Linked DNA regions of Neurospora crassa OR74A. The protein of the gene in region 2 binds, or shares a complex with, the protein of the main gene of each other region. Links are inferred from orthologs where the notes say so. Each region holds a gene or a part of one and is shown on either strand. Other genes may lie near its edges.

Region 1 (3,918 bases), on a different chromosome or scaffold from region 2:
AAGGAGGGCATGATTGATCTCCTCAAGCCGAGTGGAAATGGTGGGTTGTTGCTTCCTGAGCCGGAAGCCGAGGAGACGGAGGAGGGTGGTGAGGGTGGTGATGCTGCTGCTGCTGCGGCTCCCAAGCCGAAGCCTGAGGAAGAGGCCGAGGATGTGAACCAGTCGATTGTTTACCTGTCGGCAGAGTCTGACTACACCCTGGACAAGCTAGAAGCGAACACGTGCTACGTCATTGGCGGCCTGGTGGATAGGAACCGCGAGAAGGGCCTCTGCTACGGCCGGGCCAAGGCGGCAAAGGTGCGGACGGCCAAACTGCCAATTGGAGAGTATATGGCGATGCAGAGCCGCTACGTCCTCACGACAAACCAGGTTGTAGAGATCATGGCCAAATGGCTCGAGTGCGGTGACTGGGGTGAGGCGTTCCTGACCGTTATTCCCAAGAGAAAGGGCGGAACCCTCAAGGCAGAGTCGTCATGTGGTACCCCTGCTGCGGACAACGGCGAGGATGATGAAGAGGAGGAGAACGGCACCCAAGAAGCCAATGGTGAGGCTGCAGCTCCCGAGGTCACAGACCAGACGACAGAGCAAGCACAAGATGTGCAAATGTCTGGGTAGAACCGCTGTCTCACCTCCACCAGAATCAATCCTTCGAATGCGAAGACGTGGATGACGGCTCTTTGCTCTGTAGGAAAAGTCCAGTGAAGATCCCCCATAACATCCAGTGGCAGATTAGATGGCCGTTGTATGGTTTAGGATGGCGGGTGCATCACAGGGCATATATACCCAATTATTTTGAGCCGCCAAACAAATACCCTTCTCAGTTATCAAAAAGGGACATGATGTTCCCATGTTCAAGCCAGCCGTAGACCTGCTAAACCTTGGCCTGCAAACGATATCCAGTCCTTACCATACAACGCCAATGACCCCTTACATCACAAGATGCACAAACATTTGACCCAAGCCTTCTATGTTTCCCCTATTCCGACTTTATTTTCAATCCACCCATCAAAACTCCATACTCTCACCTCCTCCTCCTCCTCCTCCTTCCTCCTCTCGTTCCCTCTTCACCTTAACCTCCCTCTCATCCTTCATCAACCCAATCACGAAGCTTCTGAAAAACTCAATATAGCCCTTCAGACTCGTCTTCTCCCAATCCACCACATGCTTCTCCACCTCCTGCTCCTGGCGCCCTTCTTTTGGTTCTGGCTTCTTCCACTCGTCAATCTCCCTAATCAGACTCTGCACCGTCGGCACCCCCAGCGGATCAAAACTCTCTAATCCCCTCTTCACATCAATCGGCACACACACCCTCCCTGTGCCCGGGTGCACGACAAAGGGAGACTTGAGCAAATGATTGAGTTTCTTGGACACTTCGATATCAAGGCGCGGGTACGTGTACTCGAGCACAATATCCTGCTTGGCGTCCAGGAGGGACTTGGTGTCAAAGTTTTTGGCAGTGGACGTCTTGGCCACGCTGTCGATGTCGGCCCATTTCAGGGTGGACGGCCGGTCGGGCGATGAAGCCCACTTGTTGCGCAGGGCGGACACGAGTTGCTTCTGATCCGAAGGTAAAAGGGCGAGGAGCTTCTCTTGCTGGTCCTCGGTGCGCCAGGGGTCTTGGGCCTCAAGCACGTCCGACTGAAAATGCTGCTTGAGGATGTCGAGGGAGCGGACCAAGTGCGGGTGCAGCGGCCGGCGGAGGTTGACTTTCTTGCCGCTTTGCGCGCCGCCCCGGATGACTTCGAGGTAGCCGGCGATGGCGCGTCGCTTCTGGTCGTCTAGCGCCCGCGCACTCTTGTCGCATACCCATGCGTGAGCACCGCGACGACCCGAGTATACCCACATGATGTGCTTGAAGCCAAAGTCCTCGCGCAGAGCCGTGTCGACGACCTTGATGGCCATGGTGATGAATTGCCAGCACTTTTGGCATATGTTGGCTTTGTCGCAGCAAGTACGGATGTCATCGTAGTCTGTCAGATCGATATCGAAGCAGAGTTCCTTGGACAGGGGCCGGAAAGCTGACGAGTTCCGTAGCGTTTTGCGATCGCGGGGGTTGGCTGTGTAGACGGGACCAATTTCGAAACGCGAGGGCATGAGGCGGAGGACATCTTTACGGAGTCTGTTCAGGTTGGTCGGGTTAGTAAGATGGATAGCTGGAAGGGAACCGGATAGACAAACTCACAGATCCGAGGTGGTGAAGGATTGGTATCGTAGGTATGCGTCGTTCTGCAACGTAAAGGCGAATTCACGATGGCCGAAATCGTTGGTGGGTGTTGGGCTGTGGTTAAGCCACTGGAACAGGTATCGCCATGGGAAGAGGCGCTGGTAGAATGTGCGCATGACTTCGGGATCTGAGGCTTCGTGGAGATCAATCTCCATGTCACTGTGCATAGTTAGCTTCTGCTGTCTTGGGCTTGAAATGCATGGTTGTGCTACCTTTGCGAGGAGAGCAGATCGGGCGAGCTTGCTGGCTCCCTCTTTGCTGCCTTGGTAGTAGGGAACTCGTCATCGTCAGAGTCCATCTCATCAAACAGCTCTTCGAGCTTCACTCCTGTTGCCGGTTTGCTCTCGCTCGGCGCACCCGTGGCAGCCTCTGGTACTGGGGTATCCTGATTGTTTGGCGTCTCGGCTTGACTTTCAGCCTTTGACTCTGAGATATGAGTTGTGCCATTTGTCGGGGCGGATAGGACTGCATTGGAGTCTGCCATGTCAACGTCTTCGTCTGCTGGCTGTTGGGCTTCCGGAACTTGGGCCGTTGTGCTCTCAGCAACGGCATCCTCTTGCTCTTGGTCGACATTGGCCATGGGTATCGGCGAGTTCTCTGACTCTGGTGGTGATTCGGAATGAGGCATTGTGAAGGCGCTCGAATACGAAAATAGTTTTTTCTGAAATCGAGTAGTATCCTATCGTTCCGTGAATATCTGGGAGTGTTTGGTCGGGTAAGGATTGCCTTTCTTTTTTTCTTTCTTTTTTTTCCAGTGTTGATTTCACGATTCATGGAACAACCTCAATTCAGTAATAGTCGCGTCGTAAAACCGCGGTACGCGTAAAGCACTTGCAGTGGAGCGGGGACCATGCAGAGGGGCGGGCAGGCATGCAGGGGTGCACGCTGACAACAACTGCAACCTCCAACGTCCACTGACGGCCCGGAGGGGGTGTACCTTATATAGTAGATAGGTATTAAACCCTAACCCTTCATTTAATGACAATAGGTAAACTCATGATCAAAAAATACTGTCACCTCCCCCTAATGCCTAATGCACCCTATTTATTAATATCTTAATACCAACCTTCTAGAGTGTATTCTACTACTAAACTTTAATATTTTTTAATGATTCTTATTGCAAATGAAAGGCTAGAATCTAATTTAATATTTGGTATACCAGCCTTTATTCCTTCTGTAAGCCTCGAGGCGTTTGGGCATTAAGTTGATAAGGCCGTTAATGAAGTCTTGAGGGATGCGATTCTAAATGCTAATAAGTATTTCTCTAATTCGACGCTTATTTGCTTCGTTCTCCGTTAGTAAATAGAGTTCTGGGAATTCTTTTTTCAATATCCTCTTTATTTTATTCTAAACGTACTCAATGGGGTTTAAATCCGGGCTATGAGTAGGATGCGCTATATACTAGATACCGTAGTCTTCCAACCAATCTTTAGTTTACTTCGAAGTATAGATTCTCGCATTATTTTAGAGAAAAAAAGTTCCCGGACGATAATAAGGAGCTAATCCTTACTCTAAAACATCGATATAAGAATTAGAAGTATACCTATTCCTTACTATAGTTATATTACAGTTTATAATAACGAGGTTTAATTATCTACCCTTCTAAATTATCTTCTAAACTATTAAAATAATAGAAGCTTTAATATAAGCTTTAAAATTAATTAATCCGGGTTTAAATTTATTTTAAGGCCGTC
Region 2 (3,918 bases):
GGCACTCGCGTCTACTTCTTTGAGAAAGACGAGCTGGCCGATATTTGGTCGGGCAAGCTGTTTACCAAGGACAGTGAGGTCGAGGACGCTTCTGAGCCTGACATCCGCTTCGTGATTGAGGACCTTGGTGTCGATCGTAGATTGCTCGTCAACCGGGCAAAGAAGCTGAAGATGTACCGCTGCTGGTTGCAAGGTCGCTTCAGGAAGCCATTGCCGCAGTAGAAAGAATAAACAATTGATACCCATTTCTCACCACTTTCTGTTCACCTTTTGATTACCTGTGATGTGTTGCCTAGTTCTTTTGGTGTCTGCTGTACTCGTGGTATGGGATAGCATGTCAGAACCATAAATCTACATGTTGAATATGATCAAGTTAATGATGTTCATCAAATCATATCCCATACATGTGTGTGTGGGTGAACTTGTACGAGTGTCATGTCGTCGCTATGTCGCCTGAACGCCAGAAAATACTACAACAGAAAGAAACCCGGGTCCCACATCCCATGCCCATCCATATTTCCACATCGAACCTCTTTTCAAGCTCGTCCGCATCAACCATGCATGGTATCTTCAACCCTCCATCTTGACATCCCCTTGCATCTTGCCCATATTCTTCAGCAAGTAACTCCGCTTGAAGTACTCGTTGGGGTGGACAATAGTCTCAAGCTGCGCCGCAGTCATGATACCCTCATCCTTGGCCTTTTTGAGTTCTTCCTTGTGAAGATGTTCGAATACCCTGGGTTGTATCCCACATCAGCGTTAATTCACTGCTCAAGTCCAGCAGCGTCAAGAGAGTAGCAGCAGCAAGGCGGCGGGGAGAAACATACCGATTGCAAGCCATATGAAACTTTTGCTTCTCCTTATCCTCCTTGACCCCATTCAACACCCCGCGATCCGTCACCCCCATCCCCTGCTGCAACAGCGTCTGCAGATTCTCCATGTTAAAGTGTCTGTACGGACACCCGTGCGCCTCGCCCGGTCCGGGAGGATGTTCTGTGAGAATCTTTTGGCACGAATATGGCGAGTAACCGCCGCCGCGCCGATTGCTGTCGCCGCCCACGTCGCCGTACGTGTGTCGCACGTTGTACCGGTACTCCTTGTTGAACGTGTCGTCGGTGATTTTGTTGAAACTCTGTCGCCAAAATAGCAAGCATTCTTCGAGGTTGAGGCCGATGCCCTTCAGAAAGAGGGTGTACTGGAGACGACCGTAGTGCTTCAAGTGCGCGTCCCGCCGCAGGGTGCGATGCAAATGGGACATGCAAGCGGGGAAATGGTGGTTGTTCACCAGCGTGTCGATGTTTCTGGCTGAGATATCCGCCGAGGAGATGGCGGATGAAGTACCTACGTACGAAGCGTCGGGCGTGATAAAGTTCTTGGACAAGTGTGCCAGGATGGGCGTCAAGCGGTCGTCTTCGTCTAGTCGGGGAAGGGCCCGGGCGGTTAACTCGAGCTGTCGTTCCAGCCGGGACGAGAATTCCGAAACGACCATCGCTTGCTGTTCGCGCGCGGGAACGTAGGCGTAGCCTTGTCGGAGAAAGACGCGCCGCTGTTCGACCAGCTCGGGGACGCGCAGCCACGAGACTTTGCACCATGTTTGTTGGTCTTCTTCGTATTGCTGCTGCTGCTGTTGTCCCTTTTTGTAGCCGCCGAAGGAGGCAGTCGCTGCCAACTCGGCAGCTAGTTCGCGCTTCTCTTCGTCCGAAACAGTCTCCCAGTCGAGATTAAGCGAGTTTATAAAAGCCGCGCGCTCGCGACCGTCGTCGGCGTTCAGGCGCATGCGAAATAACATGGTTTCGACGCGGGTGAAGCGGCGTCGGAGGTCCTCCGTGGACGCAAAAGCGAGACGAAGGATGAAGTGGCTGTAGTGGTCTTTTTGCCGCTGGGCGAAGAGCTGGGAGGAGGAGGAGCTGTTGGTGTCGAGCGGGAGGTACTTGTCGAGTAAAGGTTTCATGTGCGAGGCCGTCTCGGCGGGGGTTTTGTTACGGAAGGAGCATGCTTCGAGTTCGGCGAGGACTGGATTATGATAAGAAAGAGGTTGATTAGCGTTTAGAGGCACGCCCAGTATTGTAGATCACTGAGATATGAGCGTGGTATGATACATACTTCGTAACCTGTCGATGGCCCATTGTTCAAACTGCTCAATGGTGATGTCGGCTGTTGGAGGGGTCGAGTAGAAGTTGAGCCGATGGGGATAATCGGTGTCCTTGTAGGCGGCTTCTGCGAATTGTTTCTTGCGGTGGTCGAGGACGTTTCGCCTTTTGGGGTCGATGCGACTGACGTTTGATCGTAGCATGATGGAGACTTGGTAGGACTGTCCTCCTGGCTTTCTGACGTGGGAGGTTGTCGGTTGGAAGCCGTGGACTGGGGATGATGTTGGTCTGGGAGACGCGTCTAAAGTTACCTTGACGCGCAGCTCTTACAAAATCAATTAAAAAGCTGGCCAATCACAGGCGTAATTTTGTCCGTGAAGTTGGGCGCGATGCTGCTTTGACCCTAACCCTAGAAAGCCAGCCGGTCACCGAAGACCCTTTTACTCGCAAACTTGGACTTTCTTTCCACTGTTCAAAGTTTCTCAGTCTGTCTTTTCCCGGTGGGATCTTCTCGTATCATTGTTTGGAGAGCCAGGCCTATGTCGCCTGTTTCCCAAACCTCATTCATGGCGGATCGATAGGTTGCCAAGCGGAAACGAAGCTGTCAAGCTTCTAGTCTAAGGACAGGACAAGAGGCTCATGGTTCACTGATACTGACATTTTAACTATTCCCGAACACATCTCAAAGCCGACATGACATCGCTAACAAACTCAAAATAAACAGAATGAAAGGACATCAAGTGATGCGAGGTTCACAGCCTCAAATGCGACCGCCACAGGTATCACTCTCCCGTACGACTCCTACATCCTAATCCAGCTCTAGGCCTTTGCTGTTTGACCGGTCATAAACGCACTAAAGGCAGTCTTTATAAAAGTTAGTTTATGTCATGTCCAAACGTATCAAGCTGGTGTGGGGTTTGACAAACCGCATTCCTTGTCTGGATGAATATTGTTCCAGGGCCAGTGAATTTGCACACCAGTCCTTCGCCAGAAGCGAAGCCCGATAGTAAGCCGCCGGAAGCAACACGTTCCAGAACGTACTTGGTATTCCATGCGACCAAGTGGCCGTTGTCAACAATGTACTTCTCGCCGTCCGCCAGCTGTCTCCTCTGTTAGCAACCCGCACCCTTCCACTCGGACTTCAGACAACTGATAACTCACATCTTTCCGAACAATGGCACCAAAACTCGTCAGCCACAACAGCCCCGTGCCACTAATCTTGTACACCCACAATCCCTCACCAGAGAACATGGCCTTTCCCAGTCCCTGGCGCTTATAGTCCTTGGTGACGTTCTGCGTCGAAGCAAGGTATCCATCGTGGCTGACAGACCAGGTCTGGGAGCCATCCAGGCGGAGACTCGTGATATCGCCGAGCATGGCAGGGGCCAAAAGCAACTCACCCGGACCGGTGTAAGTCGAGCTGCCCATCTCGCCGCCGGCAACAAGTTTCTTCAAGCCAAACTTGTAGGCTCCCTTGAGGGACATGGAGGGGGACATGGCGATCATTGATCCTGTGCGAGAATAAGATAGAGACTGTTAGCCAAGTACACACTCGTTTGGATACACCTATGGAGTGAATTTCAAGAGAGAAAGCATACCCGGCTTAGCATCCAACGGGCAACCGATCGCCAACTGCACAGTCAAAATAGTATTGCAATCCCGATGGCTGATACGGTAACTGCCACCATTGAACGTTCCCACGTCATCCGACACCGCACCTACACCGGAAAACTGTCCGGCGGCGGGTGCACCAGTAATGGCAGCCGCTGCCGAAGTGCTCAACCCCAGACCAACCGGTTGTGTGGGTGCTGGCTGCTGCTGCTGCTGG

Evidence for each region.
Region 1: the proteins of NCU04646 (region 2) and NCU02232 are in contact, whole or in part, in a cryo-EM structure (PDB 8FOC), measured with the Saccharomyces cerevisiae proteins. The link is inferred for Neurospora crassa OR74A from reciprocal best matches to the Saccharomyces cerevisiae genes PRI2 and PRI1. Residues at the interface, in NP_012879.1 of Saccharomyces cerevisiae: Gln194, Gln197, Thr198, Ser200, Ala201, Phe205, Pro228, Phe229, Glu230, Ile233, Val236, Gly237, Arg239, Val241, Phe242, Leu243, Lys244, Asp245, Gly246, Tyr247; in NP_012273.1 of Saccharomyces cerevisiae: Arg149, Glu150, Asp151, Phe152, Gly153, Tyr154, Arg175, Leu179, Gln183, Asn186, Val187, Tyr190, Arg195, Lys206, Pro208, Tyr209, His210, Pro211, Ala214.

The regions. Positions count from the first base shown.
Region 1 is NC_026507.1:3,252,937-3,256,854, reverse strand, and holds NCU02232 (DNA primase small subunit), read right to left. Parts: upstream 3,028-3,918; 5' UTR 2,853-3,027; coding exon 2,437-2,852; intron 2,384-2,436; coding exon 2,183-2,383; intron 2,120-2,182; coding exon 1,006-2,119; 3' UTR 666-1,005; downstream 1-665. Other genes in the region: NCU02231 (tRNA (guanine-N(1)-)-methyltransferase), read left to right, coding at 1-615. UniProt on the Saccharomyces cerevisiae protein: DNA primase is the polymerase that synthesizes small RNA primers for the Okazaki fragments made during discontinuous DNA replication. In a complex with DNA polymerase alpha (DNA polymerase alpha:primase) constitutes a replicative polymerase.
Region 2 is NC_026505.1:1,347,819-1,351,736, forward strand, and holds NCU04646 (DNA primase large subunit), read right to left. Parts: upstream 2,384-3,918; 5' UTR 2,294-2,383; coding exon 2,104-2,293; intron 2,014-2,103; coding exon 828-2,013; intron 737-827; coding exon 571-736; 3' UTR 345-570; downstream 1-344. Other genes in the region: NCU04647 (actin binding protein), read left to right, coding at 1-222; NCU04645 (DUF124 domain-containing protein), read right to left, coding at 2,910-2,954, 3,017-3,190, 3,252-3,601, 3,689-3,918. UniProt on the Saccharomyces cerevisiae protein: DNA primase is the polymerase that synthesizes small RNA primers for the Okazaki fragments made during discontinuous DNA replication. In a complex with DNA polymerase alpha (DNA polymerase alpha:primase) constitutes a replicative polymerase.